Linked DNA regions of Tribolium castaneum. The protein of the gene in region 1 interacts with the protein of each later gene in a pairwise test. Links are inferred from orthologs where the notes say so. Each region holds a gene or a part of one and is shown in the gene's direction. Other genes may lie near its edges. The genes, in order: ci, nej and cos.

The links.
Region 2: the proteins of ci (region 1) and nej interact in a two-hybrid assay, tested with the Drosophila melanogaster proteins (3 studies listed by BioGRID). The link is inferred for Tribolium castaneum from reciprocal best matches to the Drosophila melanogaster genes ci and nej.
Region 3: the proteins of ci (region 1) and cos interact in binary tests that used the Drosophila melanogaster proteins (3 or more experiments, as listed by UniProt). The link is inferred for Tribolium castaneum from reciprocal best matches to the Drosophila melanogaster genes ci and cos.

The regions. Positions count from the first base shown.
Region 1 is NC_087394.1:31,425,341-31,436,553, forward strand, and holds the start of ci (transcriptional activator cubitus interruptus), read left to right. Parts: upstream 1-5,173; 5' UTR 5,174-5,621; coding exon 5,622-5,806; intron 5,807-11,213. UniProt on the Drosophila melanogaster protein: Has a dual function as a transcriptional activator and a repressor of the hedgehog (Hh) pathway. The full-length ci form (ciFL), acts as an activator (ciA) while ciR, its C-terminally truncated form, acts as a repressor. Involved in segment polarity.
Region 2 is NC_087402.1:7,102,385-7,113,636, forward strand, and holds the start of nej (CREB-binding protein), read left to right. Parts: upstream 1-5,125; 5' UTR 5,126-5,718; coding exon 5,719-5,800; intron 5,801-5,907; coding exon 5,908-5,982; intron 5,983-7,351; coding exon 7,352-7,786; intron 7,787-7,837; coding exon 7,838-8,019; intron 8,020-8,243; coding exon 8,244-8,664; intron 8,665-8,740; coding exon 8,741-9,043; intron 9,044-9,094; coding exon 9,095-10,819; intron 10,820-10,872; coding exon 10,873-11,162; intron 11,163-11,226; coding exon 11,227-11,252. Other genes in the region: membrane-associated progesterone receptor component 1, read left to right, coding at 806-1,109, 1,159-1,308, 1,355-1,470; uncharacterized protein LOC103312726, read right to left, coding at 2,110-2,373, 2,421-2,804.
Region 3 is NC_087402.1:2,902,456-2,913,707, reverse strand, and holds cos (kinesin-like protein costa), read left to right. Parts: upstream 1-3,978; 5' UTR 3,979-4,109; coding exon 4,110-4,111; exon of another isoform or gene 4,112-4,157; coding exon 4,158-6,930; 3' UTR 6,931-7,004; downstream 7,005-11,252. Other genes in the region: transmembrane protein 87A, read right to left, coding at 361-1,602, 1,646-1,749, 1,800-1,860, 1,915-2,013; uncharacterized protein LOC103312599, read left to right, coding at 2,354-2,435, 2,480-2,781, 2,828-2,887, 2,946-3,050; mRpL48 (large ribosomal subunit protein mL48), read left to right, coding at 3,274-3,378, 3,425-3,685, 3,735-3,902. UniProt on the Drosophila melanogaster protein: Regulates cubitus interruptus (ci) processing by recruiting multiple kinases to promote its efficient phosphorylation.

The DNA.
Region 1 (11,213 bases):
TACATAACATGTGAGTAAAGGTAATTGAAGTCTTCAACGTCTATGTCTCGATTTTCTTAATAAAATAAAAACATGTTTTTCTAATTTTTATTTATTATTATTATTATTATTATTACTATTACTATTACTATTACTATTTCTATTACTATTACTATTACTATTACTATTACTATTACTATTACTGTTACTATTACTATTACTATTACTATTACTATTACTATTTCTTTTACTATTACTATTACTATTACTATTATTATTCAAATATGAAAAGAAGTTTGGTATACTTTCTGCACTTTCTACCAATATTTTTAGTCTTGTTAATGTGATTTCAAAATCACAGGACCCTCTGATCTGAATGTTTATTGTGGAGACTATTTTAAAAGTTTACTTTATTCTTTTTTTATCATTTTTTTTTTGAAAAAAGCATTTTTAATCTCAAAATTCCACATCTTCTAATCGAGAGCAACGAAGACTAATTGAAGAAACGCATAAAGGAAAATAGTAATAATTAAAAAAAGGTGACGAATTGGAGTGGGATATAATGCTCTCCTTTTCTCATTCTTTTTCTACAGTTAATATTTTAACACATGCTACAAACTGTTGATGAACTAATACTTTGGTCTAAAAGTATATCAAATGGTTCTCATTTTTCTAATATAATTTGAAACATGTGGATTGAGTACTATCTCGACACTAGTACAGTAAAACCTCTCAACAACGGACACCGATGGGGAATCTTTAATTGTCCGTTGTGGGGAGGTGTCCACTAATGGGGGGTGGAAAAATTTAATATAGATTTTGCTACGTTCCTAGAAAAATGAGGTTTTACTGTAATGTGAAGCAGTTAATACGCCTAATAGTTTTTCCACCGAAAAGTGGTCACGGAAACTGTGAGAAGGTAAAACCTGATTAGTTTTTAGAAATCATCCATTTTACAATTAATTAGTCAAAAAAGTTGTACTTGTGGGGACTTCAGAGTGCATGAATTGCAACACACGTTAATTTTTTCGTGCCATTCAGCTCCAGCATTCAAATGCCTTCTTTGTTCCTCCGGCAATAAAACAAGCACTTCTCGTGTCTCATCTGTATTACAAAAGTTAATTGCGTTTATTGTGGTGGTTAAAAAGTCTTCCTTCTTTTAATAGAATGTAAAATTTTGATTAACAATAATTGAGTTAGTGGCAGTAATGAAGTCATCTTCACAGCCTTTCGCTGAATAAAGTACCAAGCTAGATGGAATGAAGCTGGTCCTATGGAATTTGGATGCAGGTTCTTTCACTCCACTGCCCGCTGCGTCGTCTGCCATCTTGCTTCATCCTGCGTTACAGAGGTCATCCGCAGCGTTTCTTTCCTCGTCGAATATGGTAGTTTGGGCTTTGTCCGCGACTGGACCGACTGCTCCAACAATCTTTCTATTTACTTTATCGCTCGAGAAGAAACTGAATACTCCTACGATTCCAAATCTGGTTCTGGTTTGAATACAATTAAATAACACCCAGATTATTGCCTCTCTTATCCATCTATATTTTCATTTCGTGTTCGAGTGTGTCCGCTGTGAGGTTTTCGGTCTTGTGGAACGGCCGATTTTGTGCCGGTCGTGCCGGACTTATTATTACATCAGCACTTTTCAAGGAAATTCTTGTAATGCTTTTGTAAACATTTAAATTAGGATTTATGAAAAACTCATCGCTGAACCACAGGATGGCTTTTACGTTTTTTCATGTTCTCGAGCAAATATCGGATCTGGATTGGAATTATACGGAAATTACATCACCGACCTCAGCTCCACCAATTGAGATATTCCCAATTCTGCATGCTGTTTTTGCTTGACCTGGACATAAATATTCGAATTGGCATCTCGTTGATTTCATTATACTCAAGGACTCTCGCGGAATTTTTTCTAGCTTTGAAAAAGTGGACAAAAGCTTGAAATTCTTCTTTCCGACACATTCCCAAGTGTAAATTACAAAAGCGAAAACTATTTTTCCGTTTAAGGACTATCACCTAGTTAGAATCTCGATGGGTCCGGGAAAATTGATACATCAATAAATTAACAAGTCAGGACAATTAAAATTTTAATTACAATGTAGGCAAATATTTACGAGCGGCCGGGGGCTCTATAAAATATTTCTATCTAGAAAAGCTCAAAAATAAACATGCAGAGACGTCCGAATGTAAATTAACACATTAAAATCGGGGATCGAAAGAGCAGGTTTGGGGAATTTTGTCATGATAGGTATTTTATATTTCAACCAGATGTTTGTAAAGACGCCTTGTTATTATTTCGAGCACAAAAAACACTAATTTAGTAAAATTATAAGCGGTACCCCAAAGTGTTGGAGCGGGTCTAACTTGTTTCGTCTCACTCTTCTTCAATTAGAACAGGGCATCTTTCGCAGTCTACAGCATTAATGAAGTTAGTAGAGGCCTTCTCGATCCGCCAGCGGCGGAGAGCCCAATTTCACACGCAAGGTGGATTCTTCGCCACAAATTTCACAATGACTTCTCCTAATCTGACGATTCTTGAAGAAATTGTAAAAAATTTGGTCGTTTTCCTTGTTTTAATGAAATTCTAAAATTCTTATATTTTTTTAAATGCTAAGTACAGATACTTTCACATAATTTTACGAGACATGCGTCTGCAGAATGCTGTCAATATTCCAATACGAACTCGATTACATATTTTTCAAAATTGAAAAGGCTTCTTTTAGTTTGTCCACATTTTCAAAAAATTTGCAACGTTTTTAGTTGGTAATTTAGTAGATTAGAATTATACTTATTACATTAATTTTGATGTAAACCCGACTTTAAACCACCTCTAAACACAAATTTTGACCTTTGTCATAACTTCAATTTTTTCAAATTTTCTTGTAGCTTTTCATTTAATTATCTTTGTTTTTATTAGATATTTTATTAGTAGAGTACAGCTGTACTCTCTGTTTCAAAACCACGGAAATGCCAACGCATTTTACCAAATTATTTTTTAAATAAGGTTGATAAAAATGTAAAATAGTTATTGCTGATTATTATATTTCTCATTGAAACTATAAAAAAACTTCAATAATCCGAAGTTTTTGATAACTGGAATGAATGTGAAATGACTACGAAATCCTAACAGTATTTATTATATGAAACTCGAATTTCTTGATATCCAAATCTTTTTGACATACCCTTTTAATAAGTTGTACTATTTCTTCTATCCTTTATACTAGGTAAGGTATGACGACAATTTTTGTACTTACTTTTGCGCTTACCTAAGACACAGTCATCGTTTTTCTTAGAATAGCATCAGAAATAAAACAAATATTTTTGTAGCTTATGTACTATGTAGTGTCAAATATTACTTTTTTATTTTCGTTGAAAAATATTTTGATAATTTTTCTTATACTGGCTTATTAAAACATACTTATTCTATATAAACTTACCATTTGCTTTTTATTTTTGTTATTTTTGATAGGTCGCACTAATTTTCAGTAACTCGAACTATGTAGGTTCGAGTTAGGAGGTTCGACTGTATTTAGCTAATTGGGCTTTTTAGTCGTCTAGCGGAAATTTATTAATTTTGTACCTAACGGCATTTATTTGACAAAATCGTACATAGTTTTCAAAAATTATCAAATAAAATTTAAAAAACCTGCAACAAAAGGAAAATCGGCTATTTTTTTTAAGTTTGAAGGGAATTTTGACTATGAGTACTACGAGTAATAGTCATAATTATCTATACATATTTGATTTTTGTCTTTATGTTTGTTGTATCCTTTATGACAAAATTTGTATTCCATTTAAGTGGAGATTTACGTAAAGACTGAGTTTATATTGTTTTCATTGAACATCTTGTAATTCACAACATTATGAATGGCTTGAATGGAAATGTGCTTTATCTAGTAGGAATATTCATAGTAAAGGTATTGAAATGCAGACGTTATTCTCAAACACGTTAAATAAATGTGTTTGTTTACCTCATATACTTGTAAATAGAAAAAATTACATTGTTTGATTCATTTCTCATGTAGGTATACCTCGGTTCTTTTTTATCGCTTTGATGGCAACGTCACAAAGACGTTTTATGAGGTGAAATTGGTCACAAACATTTGATTTACGTTGGAAAGAAGAATGTTATAATTGGATTCTACTAACAAATTTAGAGCAAATGATGAGCTCCACTGTTTCATAAACAAAAAGAATTATAAAACTCGATTCAATGACCATAGAAATCTACACATTTGTGAAAAAAATCCTTGGACAATCGAATTTGTTCTTGTTTCCGTTCATCATACCTATGATTCTTTGATTTCATATCTAAGAGATGAGGGTCCAAGGTTTGACATTATCAACATTTTTTTAAATGAGATACATAATCCTCTTTTTGAAGCCATAAATGAAAAGTTCGCATTTTTTACGCTTTTGTAGTAATTTACTGGAGACAATGGGAACAAAAGGGGTAGGTTTTATAGGTAGACGTTTCAGTATGTTATTTTTTTCAAATTTTAAGTAAATTTGCGAATTTTTTTTGAACAATTACAAATGGAAAGGATGTTTTATTTGATGAGTTCTGTTACTTGTTAAAATTAATACATGTATTTCTGATACACTCTGTATTTATAAAAAGCATAAGCGTGTATGCTCCGGTTTTAGGCAAAAAATGTCCACGTGTCCAATTCTTTTCATACAATTTTTGCACTATTTACACTATTTACACTATACAAATTTGATTACAGGTATAGTTTGCCGTATTTGTGCCTACACTTTGTTAACTTAACGAATTGTTAAAACACATGAGTATATAAAAACTACCTACATGATATTACATTTCATTCAGAATCCACTTAGCACAATTGTGTATTTGATGTTTGTTTTTCTTTTCAGCTAAAATATGTTACATGTTTATTTACAGACTGTTACAAAACGTAAAGTAGCACATTTTTACTTTTATTAACTACACACTACTACTATGTTTTCCTTATTTCATTTCTCGTACAGCAAAAACTTTCATTATCTCAGAAATGAAAAGCGATATAACTATGAAATCGTAGCGAGTGAGAAGCCTAGAAAATGGAAGGTTTATTGATATAAATGGAGGCTCCTAATTCGCTGCTACGCCACTGAGTAAATAAGAGAGTACAGAATGTGAGTCCATTCCCTCGCAGTCGGTCTGGGTTGGCCCCTCCCCGGGCTCCCTTCTTCCACACTCGTTAGTTGAGTTGTAAGGCCTGCCTGTCAACTACTCGCCTGCCTCTACTCTAGTTAGTTGTCCGTAGTCTATAGGCTGGTTGTGTTGTACTATACCTATTAGCAAATAAAGCATGTGCCTTACGCATCACCAGCAAGTGCCTCCGCGACGATGCCTCTCCTATTATTAGCCGCTCCGAATTGCCCTAAGTGCCTGGATTAAGTGTCTAGACTGGATAATACCCGCACCGATTCAAGCCCAATTACCGCCCCATAAAAATAAATTCAAATCGCGATGCTCCGGCGCGGAAAACCGCGAACTCGTGTGCCGCAGCCTTTAATTGAGACATATCCAATTAGCTAAGAAATTGCTAGATGACAGCGCTGATGACCGGTAGCGCGTTTTTGTGACAATCAGTTGTGACACAATTTAGTGATGTGACTAGTGCGATATGCCCGAAAAGGAGGCGGATTTTCAAGCCGCTATGTCTGCTGGTCTACCGTTACAGTTCCCGTCGGCTTTTGCGGCTTTCCACGCGCCTCTTCCCGTTGACCAACGCACGCACGAAGGACGATACGTCTGGGACCCCAGGATGCAGCCGCCAGGAGCGCCCTTCCACCATCCCACGCCGCCAGGGTGAGTCCAGCACGCTGACAGTGCTGCTCAACACTTGCGGAACGGCAATTGAGCAAAAACCTATATCTATATCAAGTCATATACACTGAACTCTTTTCTAAATCGTACTGAAGAAGAAGCAAACTTGTTGCTTTTAATTTTTGCATTCCATAACATTTAAAAAAGTTTGTTACGTATAGAGGTCATCTTCACTTAACAATTTGAGTTAAATTTTTATCACCGAAACGTAAAGATAAACTCATTATTAATGGCTGGGAACGTGAAACCAACTCGACAACGGGAAGTGGTCGTCCGAAAATAATGTATAACTGTTCTGGTCATTGTCGGAGATGACGCTATTGGTTTTTAACGGCATTTGACTACGTTTTTATCTCAAAAACTGGTCAACATAAATTTGAATAAAAACAAAGAAACATAAAGAGCGAATTGATTTAAAAAGCAATTCTAGAGAGAAGAGGATTCTCTAGGTATCACTGTTACTACAACTGTAATAAAAAAGATATTTTTGACTCGGTCCACTTTTATTACCCTCATGATGTTCCAAGCGTTTTAAACAGTGAGACAAGCTAAAAGGTAACTACTTGTTAGCAGCAGTGCTACTTTTCTCTAAGTAGCAACTTCCAAATGGTGCTTAATTATTGAAGAAAGGAAGATTTGAAAGAATAGAAGATTTTGATTAAAATTATATTCATATTCAAATTCGCAAAAGGTGAATTTTTTGAGTAGCCAGTTTCATTCTCTTATTTGTAAAAAAAATATATTTGTTAACATAAAGGCAGGTTCACACCTAGAAAGTAGTAAGTAGAGATCATACTTAAGCATAGATATTTTTAAAAAAAACAGGCTATTCCGTCTAAACCCCACATTAGAAGTTCTAATAATGATACTCATCTAAAAATTTACACACAACCTTAATCCGTTAGGTCCTGATCAATGAAAATATTTTGAACATGGCAGCACTTCCGGTTATACCGGAAGTCGTTATCAACTTTTTTATTTTCAATCGGAAGCTGTACTTATCTATCAGCTTTCCCTATACCTAAATTTACTTGTTTTCGAAATATTTAGGGTTTTTTGAAAATTTTTGGATTTGCTTCTTTGACTTTAAAACTTTATAACTCTGCCGGTTTTAAAAATTGGAAAACTTTTTTGGCTTTGAAAGAGAAGGTATAATAAATGTTTTCTTGGGTGTTTTCTTTTTAAAAAAAGTTAGCAGTAAATTTTTAAGATTAAATTTGCAGAACGTTTTAAACACCTATAACTTAAAATTTTCAAATGAAATCCCACAATTTTTATTTAACTAAATGGTAAACTTTTCTTCCATATTTTGAACATACTGAAGGAACGTACTTTTCTTCTTTGATTATCCAAATACGATTTATAAAACTCAAAAAACGTCAGTGTTATCGATTTTTGAAGTCAAAGATGCAAATCTGAAAATTTTCAAAAATAACTCGTAAATATCTCGAAAACGGATTAATTTAGGTGTAGGGAAGCGGATGAAAAACCTCTTGAAGTAACTCGAGTTATTTAAGAACGCAGTAAAAAACATATCTTTCTATTATGCTATTAAAAATTACTTCTTGGTGTCCTTTCCTTTTTATAAAATCATGGTTCGAGTTGGTGGTGCCTATTTTGGTTGTGAATTTTTCGTTACAATGATGCGTCTGTCCATCAGACAATTTGTTGAGCTGATACAAAAAGTGTCGAATCACGTTCGATGTTGGCTCTTTTGGTTTACGGTTGGATCCTATTTCTTTGTCTATAGACACGTAAATTTGTCATTGTCGGTAATCATCCAGGAAAGGATAATTTATGATTATTGACTTGGAAGTTTGAACTTGCATTGAGAGTGGAGAAAAATTTGACAGTGTTCCAGTTATTATTTAAATTTTTTGAGTGTGATGAAACAAGCCGGTAGTGTTTACGTTGACGCAACAAAGTTTTACGAGTTGCTCCCTCATCCATTAAAGACTTTAAAGCAAGACGTAAATAAACATCTTCTAATGTGGATTTTCTGCAATTTGTAGGATTTATTTAGGGATTTTAGACCGGAACATCCGAAATAACAAACATTTTAACGACATCGTTAAGGTATAGACCCACCGAAAGCCATTCAATCCGTCCCTAACAATCTCTTTTCTCCGAATCGACAGCACGTAACATTGACGCATTGCCTGAAATCCTTAGGATTTCAACAAACTCATGATCTCTTTTGTGCTCACAATCGGACAGGTCTTAAATTTGGGATGATGGTCAGGCTTTATTCATGTCCGACGGACTTTACCTCCGGTAGTCGTCGCCCGATTTGTGCTTTTTTCAATTGTTGTGCAACGTTTGCTCGAAGGTCGCGGGAAATTTTGTAAGGAATGCGATGATCGAAAAACAAAAGTCGTGTCGATGTGACAGCGTCTCATTGTATTGAGATATAAAAAGATTTTCAGCCGAATGATCAAAAGGATGGCTAGCTAAAAGCCGAACAATATTCAGTGATTCGGCACTTTCCAATTACTGTCCTCGCAGACAAGAATCAAACGAATTTTTGACATTCCCACACCAGACTTGCTGATTGTCACCATCCTACACTTTTGTGTGCAAACAAGTGCCACGCATAATTACTCTTGACTATCTTGCCTTAAAACACCTACCAGCCTTAATACTGTGTGCTTGTATTCACTGGTAAATCGATTATGACTGGATGCATTGTTGGTCTTCCGCAGTCTCGCAGACAATGACTTTGGCTTATGTTTCAATTATAATGCCGGCGCAATAAGAAAATCGCGACTTGATATATGGAATAAACTATTCAAACATTTTTACAACTTATTCGCTTTGTTTAATAGTGCTATGATCAGCCTGCCCGCATTGCATTCAAACTCCAACATAGCAGTAGCACCGTGTGAACATAGAGTTATTTTAACTGAGTTTTTATCAGCTTACCCTATACCTAAATTTAGTCGTTTTCCAATAATTACTTTTCTAACAGCGGGCACACTGGACAGTTTTTCAGTGGTGCACAAAATGCTGCTTAGCAATGCTTCATCAATTGTTTCAAAAGGTGACTGCTCAAATATTTTCAATCTTTGGATCGAGTTTTTAACAACAAAACAAAACAAAAATTTTTTCTTTGGATTAGCCGTGGTTAATTTTTTGTGTAGTCAAGTGTTCCAATGGTAATTGGGCTTAATTTTAAATAAAAGAAACGTGTGTTATTACATTTTTTAATTTGAGGTAATTGAAAAACCACCTCTTAAAATATGTGCATTCTAAATTCCATAACAATCCGTTGACAAATAACTGAGATATTAAGCTCGAAAGTCTTAGGTGAGACACGCTGTATAATAAAGTTACCAGTGATTTCAAAATTATTTTGGCAACACCGTATCCAACACGGTTTTAAAATTTTTGTCATGCAAGTGATGGGTGTGAAGCTTTACATGCAGGTGTTTACAAGGAATAAATAGTGTTATCAATTTATTAATTGACTCGAGGTGTATTATTAGTGAAATTACTGTACCGTGTGTATCCTGGATCGCATTAAAGTTGTGCCGAAGCAATTAGGGTGACTGAGCCGGGCTGGATCATTATTTACAATTTAAACTATCATTATGTCGTCTTGTTAGCAACCAAAATAGTGAAATTACGACGTGGGAATGTTTATGCAGCGAGTCCAGATTTGGTGCACGCACCGCGGAGCCGCCATTAAGCGCTCGGTGGTGGAGAAAAAATCAATTGTGTTTGTTGGCGAGCAAGTTGAGGATCATTCCGAACAGGCGTTTCTTTATTTTCTAACGAAAGTGCGATTGATATATAGACATGTCCGAAAGAATGCGGCTGACAATACAAAGCAACGGACATCGTGACAAAAACCAGCCCAATCACGGCCGTTGGAGACGGCAGGAGGGCGAAACTCCGATCAGTGGGTATTGACAGGACAATCCGACTGATAAATGGACACTCTGTATGTTGGTCGGTATGACTGGCAAACAACATCGCCAGACACGCAGCATACACCTGTGGACGAAGCCGTGGTGTCAAAAAGGCTTGCGTAAGAGACGATTTGAGCGAAATAAATTGCTTAGTCAATAACCTTTTGTCCGGAATTGGTCCGAACGTCTTTTTGTCTTGTCTAAGATGAATAATGAGGATGGGAATTGCGCACAATTCGCGACGATTGAAGGCCGATGAAATTGCAGATTAATTTTCGATCGCTACTTGTAAATTAAATTTCTAGATCGGATCAAGTTTTAAATGTAATCGGATTACACATTATAAACTTCTTGTCACGACAACAATAGGAATACGAGACCTGTTCAAAAGCTCCGTCGATATGCTCGTTTTGTTATTGGAAATTATACCAACCTTCCAGTAGCTATTATTCGAGCTGATCTTGTGCGAACTATAATACCAATCGGTTCCGCGAATTCGGTATTGAACCAGTGATTGCTTTCCGAAATTGCACCAATTTCAGCAATGCATTATTTAATTTTTCATTTCACCAGAACATATTTTTGAATTAACACTTCGTGGAAGTATTGGTGGTTGTGTCTCTTCTGTTCTAAGAATATCTAAGATTGATTTACAACACAACTGGCTATTCTGCTTTCAAAAGTATTCTCAAGGGTCTAAAAACACTTTGGCGGAAGTCATTCATCTCATATCACGAACATTGTTTTCAGAAGAACCATCATAAAATTAAGTGTTGCAAAATCATTCCAGTGTCATAAAGTACAAGATAATACATCTCGGGGGAATTTTGGTCAAGTGGGTTACTTATCAGTGGAGGAAAGATTGTCTAATTGGCTAATTTCTCTTAAAAATGAACGATTCGAGTTGAATTCATACAGTTCGAGGAGAAGAATGATTTTATTCACATTTTAGTTATAGGGTATTTGGTCGTTTTAAAATAATCCACAAATGGGCAAAAAAACTGATATTTTTTTTGTTTTTTAGTCTTATTAAAGTTTTATTCTAATCGACTTTTTCTCTGAGATTTAGTTTCGCTGCATCATTTTGCTGATGTTTACAAGCTGATGTGTGGTCTATCGTCCAATATAAATTAATTAAAAAAAAAATGCGACATTTGTTTTGTAACGAAACGTAGTGAAAATGATTAAGTTTTAATATATTTAATAATGCGCTAACCTTTTAGGGTGTTATTAACTATATAGGATTACATTGTCAGGCAGATTACGTAAGTACGCAAAATTTCAATTCATTCGGATAACAGGAACCCTTTTAAATTTGGCTCGGAAAATATGAAACAGACAGACAGACAACTAAGCAAGTTAAATAAATGCTTAAAAAAAGGGAAAAGCGGGTCCTTTATGCACGACCAAAATTTGACAGGCGTTTTTTCAGTTTATAGATCTTATAGTTATATATAGTTTAATGAGTAATTACCAAG
Region 2 (11,252 bases), on another chromosome or scaffold:
ATAATCCTACAAGAAATATCACAGATACGTCCACATTAATCTTGATCCAGAAAGTTTTTATACAATAGTTTTCAGACACATCAACACCCAGAACATTAGCGTCGATGAGTAACAAAAAATTGGAACAACAATAACAGCTCGACCTTCTGCCATTATCATTGCGAAAAAATACTTTAGCGCCATCTGTACAAATTTGAATAAAATAGTTTGCTTATGCAACCAGGAATATACTAAAAACAATATTGCTTACCGGGTAATTCATAAAATTAAACCAAGAAGTGATAAAAAATGTAAATGCTGACAAAAAAACAACAAAAATGTTGAAATATATTGTTTAGTCAGACCAGGATACCGAATACTGACAAAGCAAGTGGTGTCAGAAATCTAAAAAAATCTGGTTGTTTAGAATTCTGGATTTGATGTAATAATTAGTGAGTACAAGTAGTTTCCGAGAACTTTAAACGTTGTAATTTTTGGATCTTTTCCAACAGTTTCAAAGGTTTAATGGAACATTATGTATTGAGGGAATTTGAAAAAAAAATCGATCACGATCGAAAACCACCGTCGAAAATGAAGTCATAAGATAAATTTAGGACCAAAAATCGTCTATATGGCGAAATAATTAACCCCCTGACCTGCCAAAGCCTGGTTTATTGTTTTTATCAGGAATAAAAAAAATTAGCAATTTTTGTGGCGTAATTTGTGTTGACCCTGACCTCGGGTCATGTTTTGACGGTGGTGCTGCCACCACACCGGTGAAAAAATGACTATGAAGTTGTCAAATCAAGTCAGATAGTTGGTCAAGATGGCGGAAAGCGAAGCAAAATCCGGCGGTTTTCTTACAAATATTGTCTTGGAAATCGTCCAAAGTCCCGTAAACATTCTTTTAGTGTGTCTGATCGGAATTCTAGTGTACAAAATAGTGAAAAGCCGACAAGATGTGCCTCAGAGTCGCCAACCCGAGCCGGAGCTCCCCAAATTGAAAAAAAGAGACTTTACCGTTGAAGAACTGAAAAAATACGACGGAAACCAAGAGGATGGACGCGTCCTCGTGGCCGTCAACGGCAACGTCTACGACGTTACAAAAGGGAAGCGTTTTTACGGCCCCGGTGAGTACTTCCCAGCGGCCATCATGATGATGTCACACTTTTGGTTCAGGGGGCCCTTATGCGGCGTTCGGCGGCCGCGACGCCTCCAGGGGGCTCGCCACCTTCTCAGTCTCGGCAAAAACCGACGAGTACGACGATTTGAGCGACCTTAACAGCATGGAAATGGATTCGGTCCGGGAATGGGAGGCGCAGTTCAAAGGTAAATTGCCGGCCATGGAGATAACGAATAACGCAACTCATTGCAGAGAAATACGACCTCGTTGGGAAGCTACTGAAGCCAGGCGAGCAGCCCACGAACTACTCTGATGATGAAGAAGATGAGACCCCAACGGGCGCGGGCGATAAAAGCAAAGATGATTGAATTTGAGGCTGAAAGACTGCTCTTCTAGTGTAAAAAAATATCTTCGTTTTATATGATCTTGTTGGCTTTTTTAACATATTTTTTAAGGATGGTTCGTGTGATGCATTTCCGGTAATTGTTACTTATGTGAGCTTCTTTTCAAATTTTTATGTAACGCTAAAGTGGTAACGATTCGATTCCAGTTTGTGCATTTTCTAATTTTAAGTCTCGTCATAAATTACGGTCCCTTTTCCGCCAATAAATTCGCAATATTGTAACAACACTGCAAATGACGTATTTTATTTTTGTGTTGGGTAATTTTAAGATTTAGCGAGTGCCACAAGTGGGTCAAGGTTACAACACACGTTACCAACTTCAGTGTGGCTTTAGTTGGTAACATGTGGCACTTTTTATTTTAGGGGCTACAGTTTTTAATATACGGCACGTTTCAAATGTCTATTTTCTTAACGAAACACCAGTACTTAGGTAACACAGGACCGTACTTTGTAACATTTGAAATGTACCTTTCTTTTATGACCAGCTACATAATTATGGTGTGTGTATATAATTGTATGTATGAAGAGTTTTTGAAGAAATTATACATGTTAACGCCTACTTTATGTAAGATTTAAAAATGAAATATCTCTTTTAATAGGAATTTTAATTTATTCCATTGCCATAAGTCGCCAACTCCGCCTCATACAGAACCGTATTTATCTTATGTCTAACTATGCATCTTGTCCTATCATCCGGTAATTTCCTAAATACGTGTGCAACTAATTCGCCAAAAAGCGACCACTCGTCTTTAAAATTCTGTGTTTCACACTTATTTTTTTCTACTTCTGAAACATCAACAAAACATGGTGATTCTGTCACTTCTCCGTTTTCACTTTCTTCGTCTTCCAACACCTCTTCGCCTATTTCCTAAAACAAAACAATCACATATTCGTAAACCAAATCTGGACCCATACTCGTTTAATATTAGGCATAGCATTACTTTCATTGGACTGTTCGCTCTTGTTCTTATACCTCTCCAATAGCTTGTTCATGAAAGAAAATTCCTTGTACCCGTACCACGTAGTTACGTGGAACTTCCCAGCTTTCTTCATTTGGATGGCTTTGAATCTTTCCCTTCGATACTGCGAGTTGAGAATTTTCATCTTGCGTTCGACCTCGAGCCTGCTGCAGTTGAAAATGTTCGCTAGTTCGAGCCACTTTGCGTGTTTCCGGGACCTGTTCTTGTAGTCGTCGCAATCGGGGTCCCAAAGGGCTGGCCGTTTGCCAAATTCTCTGATAAGGCGCAAGACTTCGGGACAGGTCCATTCGGGGGCTTGGGGCTGGGTTGTGGGCTCCATGATGGGCGAAACTGGGGTTTTTCATCGTGGAGGAAAGTGTGCGCATGTTGCCAACGTAACGCGAACATGTATCGCGAACACGAGAGAATTTTGGAACATGTTATTCGCGATTGTTGCGGTTAATAAAGTTTTTGGATAATCAGTCAGATTTTTATTGTGTTCCCATTAGCATTTCTGCAGAATAATCATCCAACGACTTTAATTTAGGTACCAATTCGTCTCGGTATAAAAATCAAAACTGAGAGAATTCAAATAAGCTCAAGTCGTTATAAAAAATAAAAGAACGACGCATATTTCCAAAAAAATAAATTAAATCTACACCTAAAAAAATTACCCTTATCCTACAAATGTACCTATTTTCATATTAAACGTAAATTAGTTTTCTAAACTACTACGACCTGAAATGGGATATAGAGCTCTCTTCTTGCATTTTGACACAAAATTGCTTAAAAATCTTTGAGTTGGGTAGAAATAGAAAATGGTGCTATACTTATGTACCTTTTTCGAGCATTGAAACACTTCTAAACCCTTTTTTGGCGAAACACAACGGTACTATTAGCTAAAAATTATATTTTCAAGCATTTTAGCATGTGTTCTTCAGTCAAAAATAATCAGAAACGCAATTGTTTTGCTAAATGTAAGCAAAAATACGCCGAAAAATCATAGAATTATATCGCAAGTGGTGTTATTATTGCTTTCTTGAACCGCAGAACGAATGAAAAGTAACTGACTTTTGAGTTAAGAATTTCAATATTTTTGCTTTTTTAACTGTTGTTTTACTAAAAGCGCGACTATTTCGAGGAATTTCGTTCAAAATATATTGCCTCGAAGTCAATATAGCTTCTTGTGGATCGAAATATCAATAGTGAACTTTATTCATCATAGACATGAGGTAAAACAAAACAAACTATGATAAAATGTTGTACTATGCAAGAATTATATAAAAAAATTGCCCCTAGCCTAAAAAAAATCGTTGTGTAGCTCGCATTCTTTTGTAATCAAATTTATTCGTGTTTAATTAGATCTTTCTCAAGTAAATGACAACTTAATTCAAATTAGTCTAATTAGTTATCAGTTATAACTTATAATTCTTCGTGTTATATTAAATGTATTTGCCATTTGTGTTACAAAACTCAAATAACTCGTGAATTTGAAATTTTATTACGATAAATAATGCGATCTGCAAAATGTGAGAATAAACTTACTGTTTAATATTTTTTTGAGCCTAGCGGCAATTTTTTTACGTAATTTTTACATGAAACAACATAAATAATCTTCGCCGTTCATTTCTGAATTAGAAGAGCAATTAGCAATTATTAAGTGCGCTTAATATTAATTTAATATTAATTTTAATTTAGTATAAAAGAATTGAAGAAAAATTCTGAAAAAATCCCCATGAATAGTGAAAATAAAAGCACTATAAATACTCCTGGATGTGTGATTACTATTTAAAATGTTATTAGTTTTTGAGATGCCAGATTTGAAATCACTTCCAAGGGTAAGACTACTCTTAAGAGACTCAGACTATGAGTAAAAGTGCTTGTGGCGCTTAAAATCCTAAGCTTTTTGAAATATTTTTATGTATTATTTTGGAAACCTTATCGGACTTGACAACATCTAAATAAATTTTTTTCTTCCGGCAAATAGTTGTATCGAGCACCTAATAAAAAATTTTTTTGTACCAATATTTCAGAATCCAAAAATGTTTCTCAGCTTGTTCATTTGTCATCAGTAACCGAACCAAATTGCTATAAAAATGTGGAAAATAATAAGTGGTAGAAATATACAAACAATGCGACAAAGAATAGAAATTATTTAATTTTATATTATGAAAAAAAAAGTGTTTCCCAGTGGGATTTGAACCACGACCCAATGGTGTGTGTCTGAAAAAATATTTTCAGTAAAACTAAACCCAAAAATCTTTAACATCCACATTATATCTACGAATTTCATTTGGGTAATAAAGTTGAGAAAATAATATCGCTTTTTGTCACGATGCGCTTTCTTTAATAAAAGTTGTGCGAATTTTTTTTATTTTATTACAATTTAGATAAACCCAATTTGGCTGATAAAAATAATCTGCAAATAAATCGATAAAATTTGCTTATTCCAGATCGGATTTTTCCCAAGATTTTTCACAATGCCCTACTTCTGGGTACCCGCTCTTTGTTTGTGTGTATATCGTTCTTTATTCGAATTTATGTTCTTCTGACCAATAAGTATCAAATAGAGCCCTCCATCATCCATTGTTGCGTCCAGCGTTCCTTCTAGTGAGGCGGCGTCGGGACGCCGCAGCGTCCCTCAAACTTTCGCTCCATTTATTCCGAATTTTTGAGGTGCATTTTGAGTTGAGGTTTTGGAATCGTGCGCGATTTTAGTTGTTGGAGCGCATTGTGAGCGTCAAGGTTCAGCGTTCGGCTGTGTTCGGGTGACGTCACGAGCGCTGCGTCACATCGTGTTTTCCGGGAGGTTTGCGCCAATGAGGAGGGCGATCGGCGTCACGTGCCCGCTCTGGGCCAATAGCCGCGCGATTAGTTCGGATTAGATGGAACAATTCTGACAAGCGTAGAAAAAGTTTCATCAACAGCCGCCATTTTGCCTGTTTGAGAACGCGTTGAATTTCGGATGAATTCCGCAAATCGTCGGTTTGTATGTAAATCAAAGGGTTGTTTTTTGGTGGGTTTTCGGCGGGGACGCTGATGTAGTGGTGCGAGCGCGCCGATGTTTGTGAAAAAAGTGCGGAAAAGTGCGGAGTGATTACGGCCGAGAACATTGTGCGCCTCCGACGGAAGATGGTGAGAGGTAGAAGCGGAGTGCAGTTGAAGATGGCCGATGGTTGACTGTTGACAATGTGCCTTGAGTCAAAGGACCTGATCATGTGTTTTACGCGCGAATAGTCACGCTTTTACTGACCATGGCTGACCATCTCGTCGACGGACCCCCGAACGCCAAACGGCAGAAGCTGGACCCCTTCCAGGGGCCCTCAGACTCCTCAGGTGAGCCGCCCCCAGACACGGGCGCATGCATGACACGCCGGACACCGGCAGATAACCGCACACCTAACGACACACACACTTTTATTAATTTTAATCGTAACTTAAAGCTTACTACGGCCCGGCCATGGGGGGTGGTGGACACGAACACGACCAGCACCAGTGGAACATGAGCCACAATCAAAGTAAATACTCAAATACCTCGAAAAACCGACTAACTCTAACGAAAACAAACAAGATTTTACTCAAAATGCACTCACTTTGTGTTTTCGTTTTGTGGCTTGTTTTGGCGCTGCTTCTCTATTAACTAACAGTGATTTGGTTTTAGTGCGAGATTACAACAAAATGCCGTAGAAAAAACTCTTCTGCTTTATTACGAAAGCTACAATTACGCAATCTGATAATTGTTATCAGGATTTGATTGTAACTGAAGAAAAAAAACAGCTGAGCGGCGTCCCCAAAACGTGGATTTTTTGTTTATATTGAGACAAGTGGTTCATGTCCTTGAACATTTCTTACATCTAACATAAGTTTCAGTTTATTTAGGGCTACTTGTGGTAATTTTAAAATTACTATATGAAAGTTTCGTATTTTGACATTTAATATGTTCAGTGTTTATTTAGACTTTAGTGCTTACAAAGATATTAATAATTGGTTAAATACTTCTTTCTTGTTTCTAAATTATATCAACAGTTACTCTAATTGCCAATGTTCTCTCTCTGAAGTTAATAGCGTTTTTTTTTTAGAACAAATGTTGATTTGTAAATTTTTTCTAAAGATCTTTTTTTATTAAATTTAACTTTTATTTAACAAGCGTTTTGAGTTTGTTGCAAATGCAGTCTCATTTGCTTTTTATGATTTCATTCTTAAAACTATCAAATCACACACATACTTCATTTTTTGATATTATCCTAAAAAGGCACTTTGTGGTAAACATATTAATTAATTTAATTTTTCCAAAACTGCAATTCATGTTTTTTTAGAAAAGTTGTTTTGTAAATATTTTCTAGTGTTTTTTTAAGTGAATTTAACAATGTATGCAACACTTTAATAAGTTTCTGATGAGTTTGATCTCATTTGATTTTTGTGGTTTGATTTCATCGAAAACTTTTTATTAAATCACATAGTTACATGAGCAAATTCCTTTGATTTTATTTTCAAGTAGCCAAGCCGTAAACGTTCTTTTTAGGAAAAAAGAAAATTAAGAAATTTATTCTTGCTAACATTTTTTTTCTAATAACTAGGGATATGACTTTGATTTATGCTTTTTTTAATCAAAACCACTGTTTTCGAATCTTGTTCAATTTTGTCAGGTTTGGGAAAAACACTTTCCAAGCTAGATTGGATCAATATTTTTAAATGAAATTGTGTTCTTAAGTTTTCTTGTTATTTCTTGTGTATAACATTTTTTGTTTTTGGAGTGTACTTTTTCCACTAGGGTAACAGCCGTTTCGTAAACATTTTTTTGTGAGAAAATTTAAGCAGAAAAAGTACATTTCGTGTTGCCTGCCAGTCCGTTATTTGTTTATAATTTTTTGAATGTTTTTGTGTTAGATGTTCTTTCGAACATGGATATGTTCGATCTGGAGAACGACCTTCCTGACGAGTTGATAACGCCGACGTCGTGGCCGATCTCCGACAACATGGGAAACAGCAAACCGCCGCCTCATGGTCCCGGTCCCGGAACAGGGATGCAAAATGGGATCGACAGCGGTGACAACAGTAACAATTTACGCCAACTTCAGCTCAATATGCTCCAGAGCAATAAAGGTTTAATAAGTAACGCACTGGCAATGGCCGGGGGACAATTAGGCAACAAAAGTCCTAATTTACAATCGCCACCCAACGTTTCGGTGGCGAAAGGTAATGTCGTGGATCAAATGAATTTGGGGAGTTTGGCGTCGAGTATTTCGAATAGTGGTGGATTACAGTCAATGGCTAATAATGGAACGTCACCACAAATTATGAGTTCAATTCAAGGTACAAAATGTGCGGCAGTTTTCTGGTGTGATGGGCTTTTTAACGGTGGTTTTGTTTCAGGGATGAATAATAGTGCCGGTGGTAATATGATTATGACGAATAGTAGTATGAGTACTATGGCGGGAATGGCTGGAGGTGGGTTGGTTGTTAGTAGTACGGTGAATAAACCGTTGGCAAATGCGACGAATATGTTGGCACCGGGACAACCACATCATCCCGGGAACCATACAGTACCTCAACAGGTAATATAAAAAAAACTGCTATTTTTAATAAAGTGGCAAGGGTTCAGGGTTTGAAAACCAATCAATGGTTTTTTAATTTAATCTTTACCTTGCCAGAGCATATTGTGACGATTTTTTTCTTTTTTCGTCTAAAACATACGAAAAAGGGTCGAATCGTTTCGTACATTTTTTTCTTATACACACTGTACGTATGGGAATGTTTCTGAAATTTATTGTTTTCGTAGCCAATGCAAAATGGTCCGATGCTGGGCCGCGTCACAATGCAACATTTGAACGCGCGCGCTCCAGGCCCCCACGGCGTCCATCCACTCGGTACCCGGATGCAAGCCCCGGGTATGATGCAATTGGGCGGCGCTGTGGGCCAAGGAATGCCTGGAAATACTCCTTATTCATATCCCAATGCCGGACCTCAAGGTGTTGCCACACCGCAACCTCACGCTAATAAATTAGGACTTCCTCAAACGAGGTTCGGGGGACCTGGAGGTCCCGTCGGACCGGCCGGAGGCGGCGAAGGTGGAATGGCACCAACTCAATTGCCTGCACCCTCACCTGCCCAACCCCAATCCGGAGCTCCATCCGGAACGCAACCCGGACCGCAAACCGCCACCCAAAACCAGGGAGCGGGACCGCCACCGTCTTCGACGGGTAAGTGTCGCTTTGATCTCGATGTGTAGTTAGTGCATGCGCTGTCTTACGTTATTCTTCATATTACTTTATCTAGCAGACCCAGAAAAACGAAAGTTGATCCAACAACAATTAGTGTTGTTACTACACGCACATAAGTGTCAAAGACGAGAGGCGCAAGCCAACGGTGAAGTGTGGCAGTGTAATTTACCGCATTGTAAAACGATGAAAAACGTTTTAAATCATATGACGACGTGTAATGCGGGAAAAAGTTGTTCCGTGGCGCATTGTAGTTCCTCGAGACAGATTATAAGTCACTGGAAGCACTGTACGAAAATGGACTGCCCGGTTTGTTTACCATTGAAACAAGCCGATAAAAACCGAAATAATAACCCTAACGGTAAGTCCACACGTACTTCACTAGGGCCCGAAATTAATTTCGGTGTTACAGCAACGACTAATCCGCCTCAGAGTACTCAGTCGATTAACCCATCGGACATGCGTCGTGCCTACGATGCTCTAGGCATGCAGTGTCCGACGACGGGGGCAGGTACCGCCCCCACGGGTCTCATTCCCAACGCTGGCCCGCAACGCCCTTGCATCCGATTACCCATCGCCGGCGGTCCCAATATGGCCGCTGGTCTGGGAGTCAGAGGGATGGCCCCCGGCGCTGTCCAACCCGCCCCCAACGTTAGTCTACCTCTCGGTAGCGATTCGGCACAAAATACCAACCAAGGAGTGAGTCAAGTCGCCGCGAATCTCCAACAAAGCATTTCGATTTTCGGTCTTTCAAACGACGGCACTGGACAAGGACTCATTGCACCGGGAGGGTTACAAGCCGGTCAGGTGACCGCATCACCAGTTCAAGGGACCAAAGAATGGCACCAGTCGGTCACACCCGATCTCAGAAACCATCTGGTGCATAAATTAGTACAAGCGATTTTTCCAACACCCGATCCACAAGCGATGCTCGATAAGAGAATGCATAATTTAGTAGCCTATGCGCGGAAAGTCGAAGGTGATATGTACGAAATGGCAAACTCGAGATCTGAGTACTATCACCTTCTCGCCGAAAAGATTTACAAAATTCAAAAAGAGTTGGAAGAGAAGCGACAAAAAAGAAAGGAACTACAACTACAACAACAGCACACACAACCTCCACAAATACGACCAAATTTGCAAGGAGCCGTTCCCGGAGTCGTCACGAGACCACCTGGGGTTCCTGGAGGTTTACCACAAGGCCAACAACCAGGATTACGTAGCGGTTCTCCCGCATTAGGTAACATGGCCACACTGAACCAAGCCGGAGGTCGCTTATTCCCAGTACAACAAAACCAAAATCAAAGCAATGTCGTGGGACTTCCAGGCCCGAGTCCCACTGCCTCAAATCCGGGATTATCGCCATTCGGCCAACCAATGTCACAAAACAGTAACGCGTCTACGTCAGCAGGTAACCAGTTCGGTACTTCAAACGGACCTGTGAGCCTTCCTCAAGCATCACCAGCGAGCTCGACTCAAAATCAGTTTAACGACTTGATGAAAAATCGTCTCGCACCTTCACCCTCCGCTTTTGGTCTTCAATCTCAAATTCAAAATCAAAACCAAGTCAATAATAATTTAAATGCGACTCGAATAACGCCAAATTCGGAAACAGTAATGACGCCGCACGCTGCCGGCCCCAAATCGGTGAGTTCGTCGCGGGGGCCGTCACCAGCACCTGCCACCCCCGTGCAATCTTCACCCGCCACCGCAGCCAGTCTGGGTAAAGGCATGTCGAGTGCAGAACGAGCGGCTCAAAATGCACCAAGACAGTCGTCGATGTCGTCTCAGATGGCGGCGATTACGGCGGCACATGATCGCGACGAAGAGTCGCCTTCGCCGCCTCCGAATAGTATCAAGGGGAAATTGGAACAGATGAAAGAGGAGAATTCGATGGACGTTAAGCATATAAAACAAGAAGTTGAAGAAGAACCTGGGCAGAGTGAAGGTGGGAAGAATATAAAGAACGAGATGCAGATGGATATTAAATCAGAAATGAAAACGGAACCAATGGATGATTGTGAAGGAAAAATCAAAGAGGAGGTGTCTGATGGTTCGTTGGACGTAAGGCCTTCCACTTCGGACGGGGCGTTAGTACCGATGGCCTGTAACGTGGACAAGAAACCGAAAAAATGCTGTAAGGAGACTCATTATTATTGATATATTTTATGTTATCTTGGTGTATTTCAGTTTTTAAATTTGACGAGCTTCGCCAGAAGTTAATGCCGACTTTGGAGAAACTCTACCGACAAGATCCTGAAAGTCTGCCGTTTAGACAACCGGTAGATCCCCAAACTTTGGGCATACCCGACTACTTTGACATTGTAAAAAGACCAATGGACTTATCTACGATCAAAAAGAAACTTGATATTGGTCAATATACCGACCCTTGGGAATACGTCGACGACGTTTGGTTGATGTTTGACAACGCGTGGTTGTATAACAGAAAAACTAGCCGGGTTTATCGATATTGTACTAAAGTAAGAGATCAAAGTGTGCGCCTGTAGTATCACTGTTTAATGCAAAAAACTTGTTTATTTGCAGTTATCTGAAGTATTTGAAATGGAAAT
Region 3 (11,252 bases), on another chromosome or scaffold:
TAACATTCATGTGCTAAGTATGTACAGACTTAATATAAATCACTGAAGTTTTATAAAATCCAGTCATTGCGTTATGTCGTACACAATACATAACAAAAGATAATAACTATGCTAATACTGAAGACTCTTTGAAATGTGTTTGCCAATTAGATTAGTAATAAATAGGCCGGCCATCAATAGGAAAATAAACTGAAACGATTTCAAGACGACCAATTTGAAATTCCGTAATACTTTCAAACTCAATTGTTATTCCATAAAAAAGTTATCGTTAGCGGTTTTTGTTTTAACCATCTTGTAATCATGTCAGTTCAATTTAAGACCGACCTCAACACCCTCACACTCCTTTCACTCGTGGCACATTTACTGCATCTTTGAGACCTCAAACCTCGTACTGACTAGTTCTTCGTCCGAATCTAAAATCGGCAGTGCTGGATCACTTTTGATATTTTCCTCCAACCATTTCAAATCATCATCCACCGAATTGCTCCTCGGTGAGGCCCCCTTGGGGTGGTGTATCCTGACTTTGACCCCGTAGGCATCATTGACCAACTGCTCCTCCTCCTCGTCCTCCCCCGTGTCCAAAAGCGGCACAAAGGCGTACCTCTGATTATTATTCGTGGGTCTCCACAAAATCATAATCACGAGCAACAAAGCCGAGAAGAGAATGTGCCAGAAGGCCTCCTCCAACCAGAGATTTTTCCACACGACTAAACATTGAACTATGCGATGCGTCTTAATCGAATACAACATGAAGCAAATTGAGGCGATAACAGCGAAGATTAGAGTGTTGGTAAAGTGGCGGTAGAGACTCAGCTTGATTTCGTTGCGTCTCAAGCGGAGAGTCCTTGTCGTGTTGACCAAAGCGCTGAAAATCCACCAACAAATCGCCGAATCTAACACTGCAAGTGGAACCGAAGCGACCAACAAATCGCGACTTTGGTCATTTTTCGGCCGCATTATCCTCAAGTACGCCTCAGACGCCGCTAGGAAAAAATACAAGAAGCCCACCCCAACAACCCGATGCAAAGTTGAGCCTAGTCTAGGTTTAACAATCCCGAAACCTAGACTTACAATCACGACCAACATTCGGGCCAGCGTGCGCTTGGCACAGGAGACCCACTCGGCAAAAAGCATAGCCCCCTGGACGCGCATCCCTGTGTTATTAATGCTCTGATATTCGGCGTAAAAAGTCGCCTTTTCCAACATCCCCAACAGGATAACTCCCCCGATCCAGAACTGGACTCTGAGCAAATCCCGCCATTGCAGAAACGACAGAATGAGCCAGATGACCCCCAAAATCACGTAGAAAATGCACATGAAGCCGTAGAAAGGCAAAAGGGGCCAATCGGCGGCCGAGAGATACCCGTAATCGCTCTTCATTTCGACGTGGACCCCCACGGTCAAGTCGGAGGTGTTCAAGGGGGCGCTCATTTGGAACACGAGGACGTAGACGCCGTCGTGGGGTATCTCGTAGATGGGGGGCCGCGAGTGGTCTTTGGTGAGGGGGGCGCTGTCGATGACGACGTGGTCGGGGCACGTGTACGCACGCGTGAAGCGGTACAAGGACGAGGAGTTGGCCCCCGGTGCCGGTGATTTGATCAGCTGCAATTTTGTATGAGTACAAAAACCGTTTTTATTAACTTACTTCGGTGGCCTCGCTTATCGTGTTGCTGTAGTCCCAGCATGGCGACGGCACTATCACCACTTTTATGTTGATTTCAAGCTCGCGGATGTGGGTGTCACAATTGACTAAAAATTTGCGAATTTATTTAAAAAATACAGAAAGTTCTGGCGGTTACTTTTAATGAAGATTTGCGCCCCTTTGTATAGACTTTTGGTGAGGATTAGGCCATTGTCGTCCTGTAAAATCAGGTGTGACGTTTGAGGGGTTCCTGTGGGATGTCAGGGACTTACCACGGTCAGGTTAGAGTCCCACTTGCCCTCATCCGGGAGGCAGGTGATCAAAGAAGTGCATATTAGAATGCATGCCAACGAAAACCATTTTTTAAACATTGCAATTTCCCGATTTTCCGCAAGATAACCTGCACAATAAATCAACAATAAACTGTCGCCAACTCAAGTAACCTTGACACGAAAATCACCAAAACAAACACGTATTTTTCTGCAGTATTGATTATTAAATTTAAATGGCAATTACCAAAACGTGAATAAATTTAAATTTCGAACTCCCCTTTCGTTCACCCCTTTCGCAGCTCCTTTTCAATCACAACCGTACAATTTCGCCAACATGCGTGATTCACGCAGCTAAAGTTGCTAGCGCAAAACCTAGTAACGAAAGTTACTAAATTTTTCAAAATTTGTTTGGCATAATTTTATTAGAAAAATCATCGTGATGAAAGTCATTTCAGCACTTTTTCTTGTCTTTTGCCTAAATTTCGGACACGCATACTACTTCCCGATATGCTCCGAGACAAGTGAGTCGGTTATGCGTAACAATCCATAACTGCGGTATTTTTAGGTAAAAACGAGAAAACCTGCACCCGTTACTTTACTTTTCCGAGGTTTACTATCTCGACTGGAGAAAATATAGCCGCTGAAAGCGTTAAACAACCACCACAATCGCTTAGGCAATTTCTTGACCAGACTTTTGATACGTACGTTGGGCCTTTTGTGGCTTTCTATGTGCATCATGTAAGCCCCGTTTTGAACCACATGGGGATTGCCATGGATCAGGTTTATAAATTAGTGACGGAAAACTTGCCTGAAATAAGCGACGAATATTACATAGCACAATATTTGCCGTTTGTCAAAGTGAAAAAGGTAAATTGTCTTTTATTGAGAAATAAAGTAAAGTATTCAATCGTAGGCTAAAGCTGATAGCAGACTCTACTTCTTGTTCATTCTGGCGAGTCTCTGCATTTATTTGGTAATTAATAGATTGACGAGTCATTACTGTTTTTATGAACCACAAATATTTTTTCCAGATTTTGTATGTTTACTTTAGTAGAAAACTCTATTTTTATTACCAATATGCGATCAGGAGGGAATATTTATGTAACGTACAAAAGATCTTCAAAGTAAAGGAATAATTTTTCTGTTTAATAATCGGCAATTACGCAAATCACATTCCATAGTCTCCAGATAGCGACCATTTGTAACGTTTACATTTACATCTTGTAACAGAAAAATTTAAATAAAGGTTTTGTTGTTTTTTTATCTTTATTTATAATCAAAATCAAAAAAAAGTGGACCACATAACCTCAAATTTGTTGGAGGTAACCGCTAAAGAATTTAAGTTCTCCAGTTTATACTATGAATAATTTATTGAGGGTCACACGTAGGGCTCTTCAATGCCGTTTCTTGCACCAGACGCCCAAATCATTCGGGAACAACCTCTACGAGCCCGATTATCTCGAGGTAACCAAATATAACCTCTTAAAGTTACCCAAAAAACATTTTTTAGGCCATGAAATCGAATCTTCCAATGTACGACACTTTAAATATTCAAATTCGTGGCTACGATTATGCCATATTGGAAAATTATCAAAAGTTTATTCATAAATTATTGCGAAGTATGGATATAAGTGTGGAGGAAGCTTGGGCAACCCCCCATCAAGACATTCAAGTCACGACCTATAAACCGAAGAGTGAAATTATCAACACACAGTACAATTTGAAGCACTATGATCGGACAGTACAAATTACTGATGTTTTATCAACTCAGGTATTTAATTTTTCAAAGTGAAATGCTTGAAACTGGCACGTATTTGCAGTTGCCTGTTATTTTACGTGCACTGGAGGCTAGTACCCCATCGGGGATCACCGTCCACGTGCGGCCTCATGAAGAGTGGGACGAGGAGATTAGATACGTGCCTGACACGGAGTTGAAACAATTGAAACAGGAACTGGACGACTTAGGGGGGCCTTTGAAGAAGAAATAAAAATGTTAATTCATAAATAGTCTAATAAAAATGATTAATTAACTCGTTTGCCGCTTTTATTTAAATCCTCCATTTTGTTCCCTCCTAGTGCTAAACCCAAACTCCCCAGTTGTGTTGTTTGAGGCAGCTGTAAAATGCATTTAAAATCCATTGATTTTTAATAAATTAACCCAAACCGCCGCAACCGCCAGGTACTTCGCCCCCATTATGTAATTCCCACCACTATCCAGCCCCCAACTCAATTGTAAATTTTAGGTTATACAATGGGTTGAATTCTCCCAGGATGGAGATGCACATAGAAACGGCGGTCCGCATCCATACGTCGGGCTACTCCCCCAACGACATGGTTTGCGTGCACTCCAACCCCGTCAACAACACCATCCAACTCGCGAATTCGCAAAACTACCCCGTCAATTACGCCCTTCCAGCCGACTGTTGCCAAAACACGGTGTTCACAACCACGGCAGCCCCTTTGGTGAATTATTTGGTGGAAGGGTGCGATGTTTCGGTGGTCACGCTGGGCCAGTCCGGGACTGGAAAGTCCTACACGCTCCTAGGCCCAGGTTTCCACTGTGCGGCTAGCGAGGCTGATCACGGGATTATCCCGCGGTTTATTCGCGAAGTTTTCGCCAAAATGAAACAATACAGAGACAGGAATTGGTGCGTGCATATCGCTTGGTCGCAGATTTGTGGCGAAAACGTCCAGGATTTGCTAGGCGTTGGGAGCATCGAGTGCCGGAATATCAGTGACGTGTTTCAGTTGATTCAAGTCGGAATGTCGAATATAGCCCCCAAGTGCGCCCACACGTTGTTCACACTCACTTTGGAGCAGCAGTGGGTGGTGGAGACAAGTGTGCAACATCGCGTCTCAACTGCGAGTTTTGCCGATTTGGCAGGGACTGAGAAAGTTCTAGTTTATGACAGCAACGGGATGATGCAAACGATTCCCACTGATTTAGGGATACAGACTTTACAGAGGTGTATTATGTCGCTGTCTGATTTTAACTGCAGTTTTGTGCCGTACACTCAATCCGTTTTGACGACACTACTGAAAGACTCGTTCGGGGGGCGCGCAAAGACACTTCTGATCTGTTGCGTGTCCCCCCTTGCTCAAGACTTCACCGAGACTTTGTATACACTTCAGTTGGGTTTGAGGGCTCAAATGATCAAAAATTTCGTCACTGTTAACTCATACGCTACGTTTGAGTCAACACAAGAGAATTGTGATGTTTTCGGCCTACAGTTCGCCGCCAATCAACTCCTGAAACTTGTCTCGAACGCTGAAGAGTTGTTCCAACGATTGGTAGCGAACGACTTGTTACCAAAAAGCGAACAAGAACAAATATCACAGTGGTTGATGCTCAAACAAGAATGCGAAGACTGTTTGAGTGAAAATTCAGAGCCTCATAGATCACTCGAGCGGATTGAGGAGGAAATTGAGAGTGATAGTAGTGAGAGCGAGGCGATTGAGGAGGAGGAGAAGGAGAGTCTCCTTGATAGGGTTCAAGGTTTGATGGAGACTTTTCGCTCAAACACCGATAAATTAGTCTCTGAGGCTAATTGTGCAAACGTTACGAATTCTTGTACCAAAGAAAGTATGAATAGCTCGAATAATGAGTATCATATGAAGGGGGCACGGGGGCGCAGAGGGAGTATCCACTCGGCTGAAGAACTAAACCCTTGCTTGTCCCTCAATACGTTACGTATTAATGACGATGTCGAGAGTCAAAAAATCGCAGTTACGTCGTACGATAACAAGAAGAAAATCCTTAAACAAATCGCCACTGCGTTAGAATTGAATCAAAAAAAGATCTCTGATTTGGAAAAAACAATTCGGGTCAAGGAAAACCTCATGGAAAAGCTCCTGAAGCACAAAGACACAAAATCGAGTGCTCACCATAAAATCGAACAAAAATGCCAGTTGTTACGCAAGGAGTATAAAAACGCCGAGGTCAAGTTCTTGCAAGCGAAATTACAAAAAAATCACCACTTGGAAGGGAAATACAAGAGCGAAGTTGTGGCCCTTGAGGAGCGACTGCGAGACACCGAATCGTTGAAAAACCTGACCGAAGACGGGAACAAATTGCTAGAATTAGAAAGTAGTCTACATACAGATCGGGAGAAGTTGAAAAAGTACAAACAAGAGAAAGAAAAGTATAAACAAATCTACGAGAAACAGCTGAAGGAGGAGCGCTCTAAGTCGAAAGCGAGTTGCGAGAGCGTGCCGAAAACCCCCGATGTTAAAGTCGTTGCTTTAATTAAACCAAACGTTTCGCTAAATAGCGAAGAACTTGAAAGTCTGAGACACGAAATTCGCAACTTGCGCAAAACCCGCGACTATTTATTAGAATTGCGGTGCAAAATCACGCTCAAATCCCAGAATAAAAAATTCCTGAACGACTCCGACGAACGCAAGTTGCTGCAGTACGAGGAGGCTATTGAGGCAATAGACTTGATCATAGAATACAAAAACTCGATTTTGTGTGGGCACCTGCCAGTCAAAGAGATTGAGGATCATGGCGATCGGATGCTGATGGAGCGGTTCCTCAAACTGAGTGAGAACGAAATGAGGATCCTCCTTCATAGATATTTCGAGAAGATTATCGATTTGAGGAGCAGCAGCAAAAAGCTCGATTTGGAGATTTTGGATATTGAAAACCAACACGAAAATCTCGCATATCGTGTGCAAAAACTCAGTCATAACTTACAACTGGTTAGGTCTGACGCTGAACGGAGGATAGCCTCGCTCCAGCAACAACACGAAGACAAGTTGTACTTGGTCTTGAGGAACCTGACGGGAGATGGGGCTGATAATGAGAGGATAAGTCGGGTCTTGGGGTCGAGACATTCCGCAGTGACGGTTCAAGTGGCAGGCGCCAGTAAACAAGTGGACAAGAATAGGTTCATAGCGAAGTGGACGCGATACCGCCAGGAGACCGTTCCGAGACAGCTGCAATCGGTGCCCCCACAGGCCAAGGTCACCATTGAGAAAAACAAAATCATTCTGCAGAAAACCAACAAGAACTAATTGTAATTTATTGTAGGCTAGGGTAGGACAATAATGATGTAATCGTGGTTTATCAAATAAATGTGATGACTTCAGTTTTGCGTTTTTTTTTTTCATTTTTGCCCAAGAAGTAAAAGGAATTTGGCGCGCAAGCGTGGCTTTTGAGTGATCATGTACTGGTATTAACTATGAGTTAATTCAAAACGCTGCAAAACTTTCCATTAGTTAATTATTATTGCGTTTTGCCTTGAATACGTCATGCGGGTGAATGGTTTATTTGTATTTCGTGGGCACGGGCGAGCGTGGGGTGGTGATCGGCTCCGGCGGTTAGCCGTCAGCTGAGCCGCCGTCTTGCAACCCTCCGAACGTAAAAACCCCATTTTGCGACAACCGGCCTGTCATATACAACATGGCAGAAGTAGTTTCGTGTAGCAATGTGATGGTGAAAAATCGTGTTTGGTGTTGTTCCCCTTGGTGATAAAAGTGTGTTGTGTGCGGGTCGGGATTGAGCAAACGCCATGGCGGATTTGACGAAACCGCCCCTGAGTGACATCAAGCACCCCGAAGAGGTGGTGCGAATGGCAATGAACGATAGTCTCAAGTTCGCCGTTTTAATCGGACTGATTGAAGTGGGACAGGTGTCCAACCGGGAGGTGGTCAACACTGTTCTGCAGCTGGTAAGTCGTGGGGGCGGTTTGGTGGCGGCGCCGGGGCTAGAGTAAACAAAACCCTGATGAGGGTTGGCGGGGACGAAACGTTGTTGTTTTGCAACATGCATGAGGTGGGCGTGACGAGGATACAACGTGGAATTGAATGCTTTCGATAGTGCAGGTACCTGTTATCAAACAAGGTTTACACGGACACCAGTTTTGCTTTTTTGATTGATTGCTCGATTAGGGAAATGTACCCTCGTCAACCAACACTTTAGGGGTTTTTGCCAAGTCTGGCATTATCTGTTTCGTGGGGTATTTACCTAATCCATAGTATCTCCTTTTTGGTTAATCTTGACTAAAGTAAGGGTTTTATTGGCAACAAATGGACCCTAGAATAGTAAACGAATGATTTAGGATTTCATTATTGGCTACCTGTGGCCATAAGACTATTATTAAGCCCGTGGAACAAATTATTTGGTTTTTATGTTTGTGTTTGTTTTCTCGTAAGTTCAGTGACTTTCATTGCTGAGCATTTTTTTTAATTTTGGGTTTAAAGAATTACAGTGGACTTTTTTTAAGCCGAACGTGGTCGGGATTATCTAAAGTTCGGTTTGAACATAATAAGACTTTTTTACTTTTTGACCTAACTTTTTAACCTACGGATAATAAACTTTCCTGTTACTATAATTATTTGGATTTTAATTTTCTCGTTCTTTGTCAAATTGGATTTTAACATTTTATTGCTTATTTATTTATGACACATTAAATTCTTATCTGTTTGCCACAATTAAATGGGTATTATTACTGTAAAAATGTAACAAGGTTTAGTTTGTTCGTTTGGTCTGAATTATTTATTTGTAATTATTTGGGTTTTTATTTTTTGGTTCTTTGGCAAAAATTAAGTAAAATTGGATTTTAACATTTTATGACTCATTAAAATCTTATCTGTTTGCCACAATTAAATGGGTCTTTTACTGTAAAAATGTAACGAGGTTTAGTTGTTTTTCTATAAATTGGGCATGGGGTATCATAGTCTGTCGATTGTCATGGCCAGCATCTGTTTTTGTTGGCTAACAGTAGACCAGTTTAATTTTTTGGTGTTTTACGCTTCATTGGATTATCTGAATGCCGAAAATACAAAGAAATTAAAGGTTAAAATGAAAGGTTTCATTTCAAGCGTATTTTTATAAATTAACCGTTTACCGCTTCAATTAGAACGAAAGCAAGTGAATAATTTACTTTTGAAGTTTATAAAGGTAAATTCCAGAAAATGGTGTATTAGAGATAAGGTGAACAAGCAGGTTTACTTTGATAAGCGGGAAATGAAACAACAAATTACTGTTAGATAAATATTTATTTAATTTTTGGTGGTCAAAATGGGGTGATCCAAAAACGAAAACGACATTTTTTGATCACTTGCATTAAATTTTTAGTGGTTAGTTGGGGAAGGTGGGTTAAAGTGGTGCTGTGTGTATTGTTTTGTGGGGTCGTTTCGGTTTGATTAACTAGAATTTCTCTTTATTTCTTCACATACCTAAAGATTAATAAATGTTTACAACCCAAACAGTGTATCATTTTACCCCACATTCCTTTTAAAATTCGATACTTTTGCGGTTGTGGAATTCGCATTATCTTTCCGAACAACTAAAAGTTATCTCACCTGCCGGTGTTTTTTTAAAATTTGATTTCCTCCAGTAAAAAATCGCGAAAGTCTAATTAGGGCGTCTCGCCGTCTTTTTCTCCTGCTCCTGTCTAGATAAATAACGAGATAATGAAAGCATTAACGTTGAGCAGGTGGATATTTATCGGGTCGAAATTAGTTAAAGGTTTATGATCGGCTTGAGGGTCGAATGGAGTAGGTGACAGGGTGTATAATTCGGAAGCCGAATTAGTTCGCTTATGACTTTATTCCACCCTCGAACAATTAACGTTGACGGTAAATAATGCCCATCTTCTTTTCTTTGAGTCATTTTTTTTGAATTTTAATTTCGAGGAGAGGTAATCAAGAGGAATTTTCTTTTTACACGGCGGCGACGTAGAACGTCAAGTGATGCCGCGTTCTAAAACGGATTAAAAGTTTGTAAATGTTGTAATGGAAATGCGACCGACGAAAAAATACGCGAAAAACATCTCCAGGAAATGTCGGCCGATGTAATTTGATTAAGATGAGAAATTTTAAATGCTGAGACGTTTCAGACTCTGGGAGTGTCAATATTGATATAGCATAAGAGTTGCAGATTTTGTCGAGGATTCAAAACATGAGAGACGATCGTTATTCATTCGAAATATTTGCATAATCGGGCGGACGAATCACGCCGAGATAAGAGCATCAGGGCTAAAATATATCAAAGTTTAATATTTCATCCAATTTTTTAAATCGTTTCATCTAATAATTGGCGTTTTTTTGAGATTTTTCGAAAATGAAAATTAAAATTAATGGCCTATAATATCGATCTCGGAAGTGGTGCTAATTAGATTCCGAGCCACTTTCGTCGCATTAATCCGATTACGTATGAAGGCTTGGGCTCTCTTTGTAACCGAGCGAATTTTTTTTCTCAAAGTCGTAAATTGGCAATGTTTGGCGTTAAATAGCGTAGGAGAGACGAGGATTCCGCACCCGCCGAGAGGTGTGGTCCTCTCTCTACCCTACCAATCGATTCCACCGTAAACATTTCTGGAGCAGTTGGGAAAACAAAGCTGTCGTCTCATCTGAGCGCACTCGAAATTCATAATTTGGCAAAAAAATTATATTTAAAAATCGTCGAACGAAAAGGGAGGAATATTCCAGGTCACGGGATCGGAGAACAGAGGCCAGACCAAGCGTTAACTGCACTCGAAAACTACCACGGATCAGGATCGTGTTTCTTTAGTGCAGTTTGCAGTTAATTGTGCACAGCCAATTAAGTCAAGGTGTGGAGTTGAGAGGCTGAAAGTTTTAGTCGACTAATCGCTCACATTGGAAATAAAGTACGAATGTCGAATTCGAAGCGGCATAGAGTAAACTCTTGTCCAGCTTTGGGTGATTGATACATTCTTGAATCATTAATATCATCAGCAACCAATGTGTAACTAACTGATTTTGCGAGTTGATCTTAAGAAATTCGTAATTTTCTTAGCTTTAATTCTCATATTTTAGAAAGAAAAATTTAAATCTTTACCATATGGAGTTTTAGAGGTGTATGTCTTTAACTTTTAATATTGTTTTATCTGTTTATGGAAAGTTTTTTCTTGTGGCTGCATCCGTATCACGAACATTCAAAATTTTTAAATCAGAAAGCACTTTAGTTTTCGTACTTTTGCCAAAGTCGTTGGTTTGTTGTGCGAACTCACCAGAGATTCCATTTGTTATTTTTTCGAGAACTTCCACACTTATATTCTTCGGATGATGCTTGAAAGCACTCAGTGTCATTTTCTTGTACACATCGCGGTCGAATTATCGAAAATCGATGCAGTTTCTATTTTTGAGTTGTGACGAGAGAGAGTTGATCTTGAAGCCATCAAGTTGGAATGAGTTTCGCCAACATAAGCTCAGTTGTAAATTTGCGATATAAAAAATTCAAACTATCGAACAGTAATAAAATACCCGAGCTCATGACATAATTAGAGAGTTTTCCGTTTCGCGAAGGAAAATCGATAAGGGTGGCCGGTCACGTGCCGCTTTTATTTTTTAAAACTAATTTCGGACCCGGC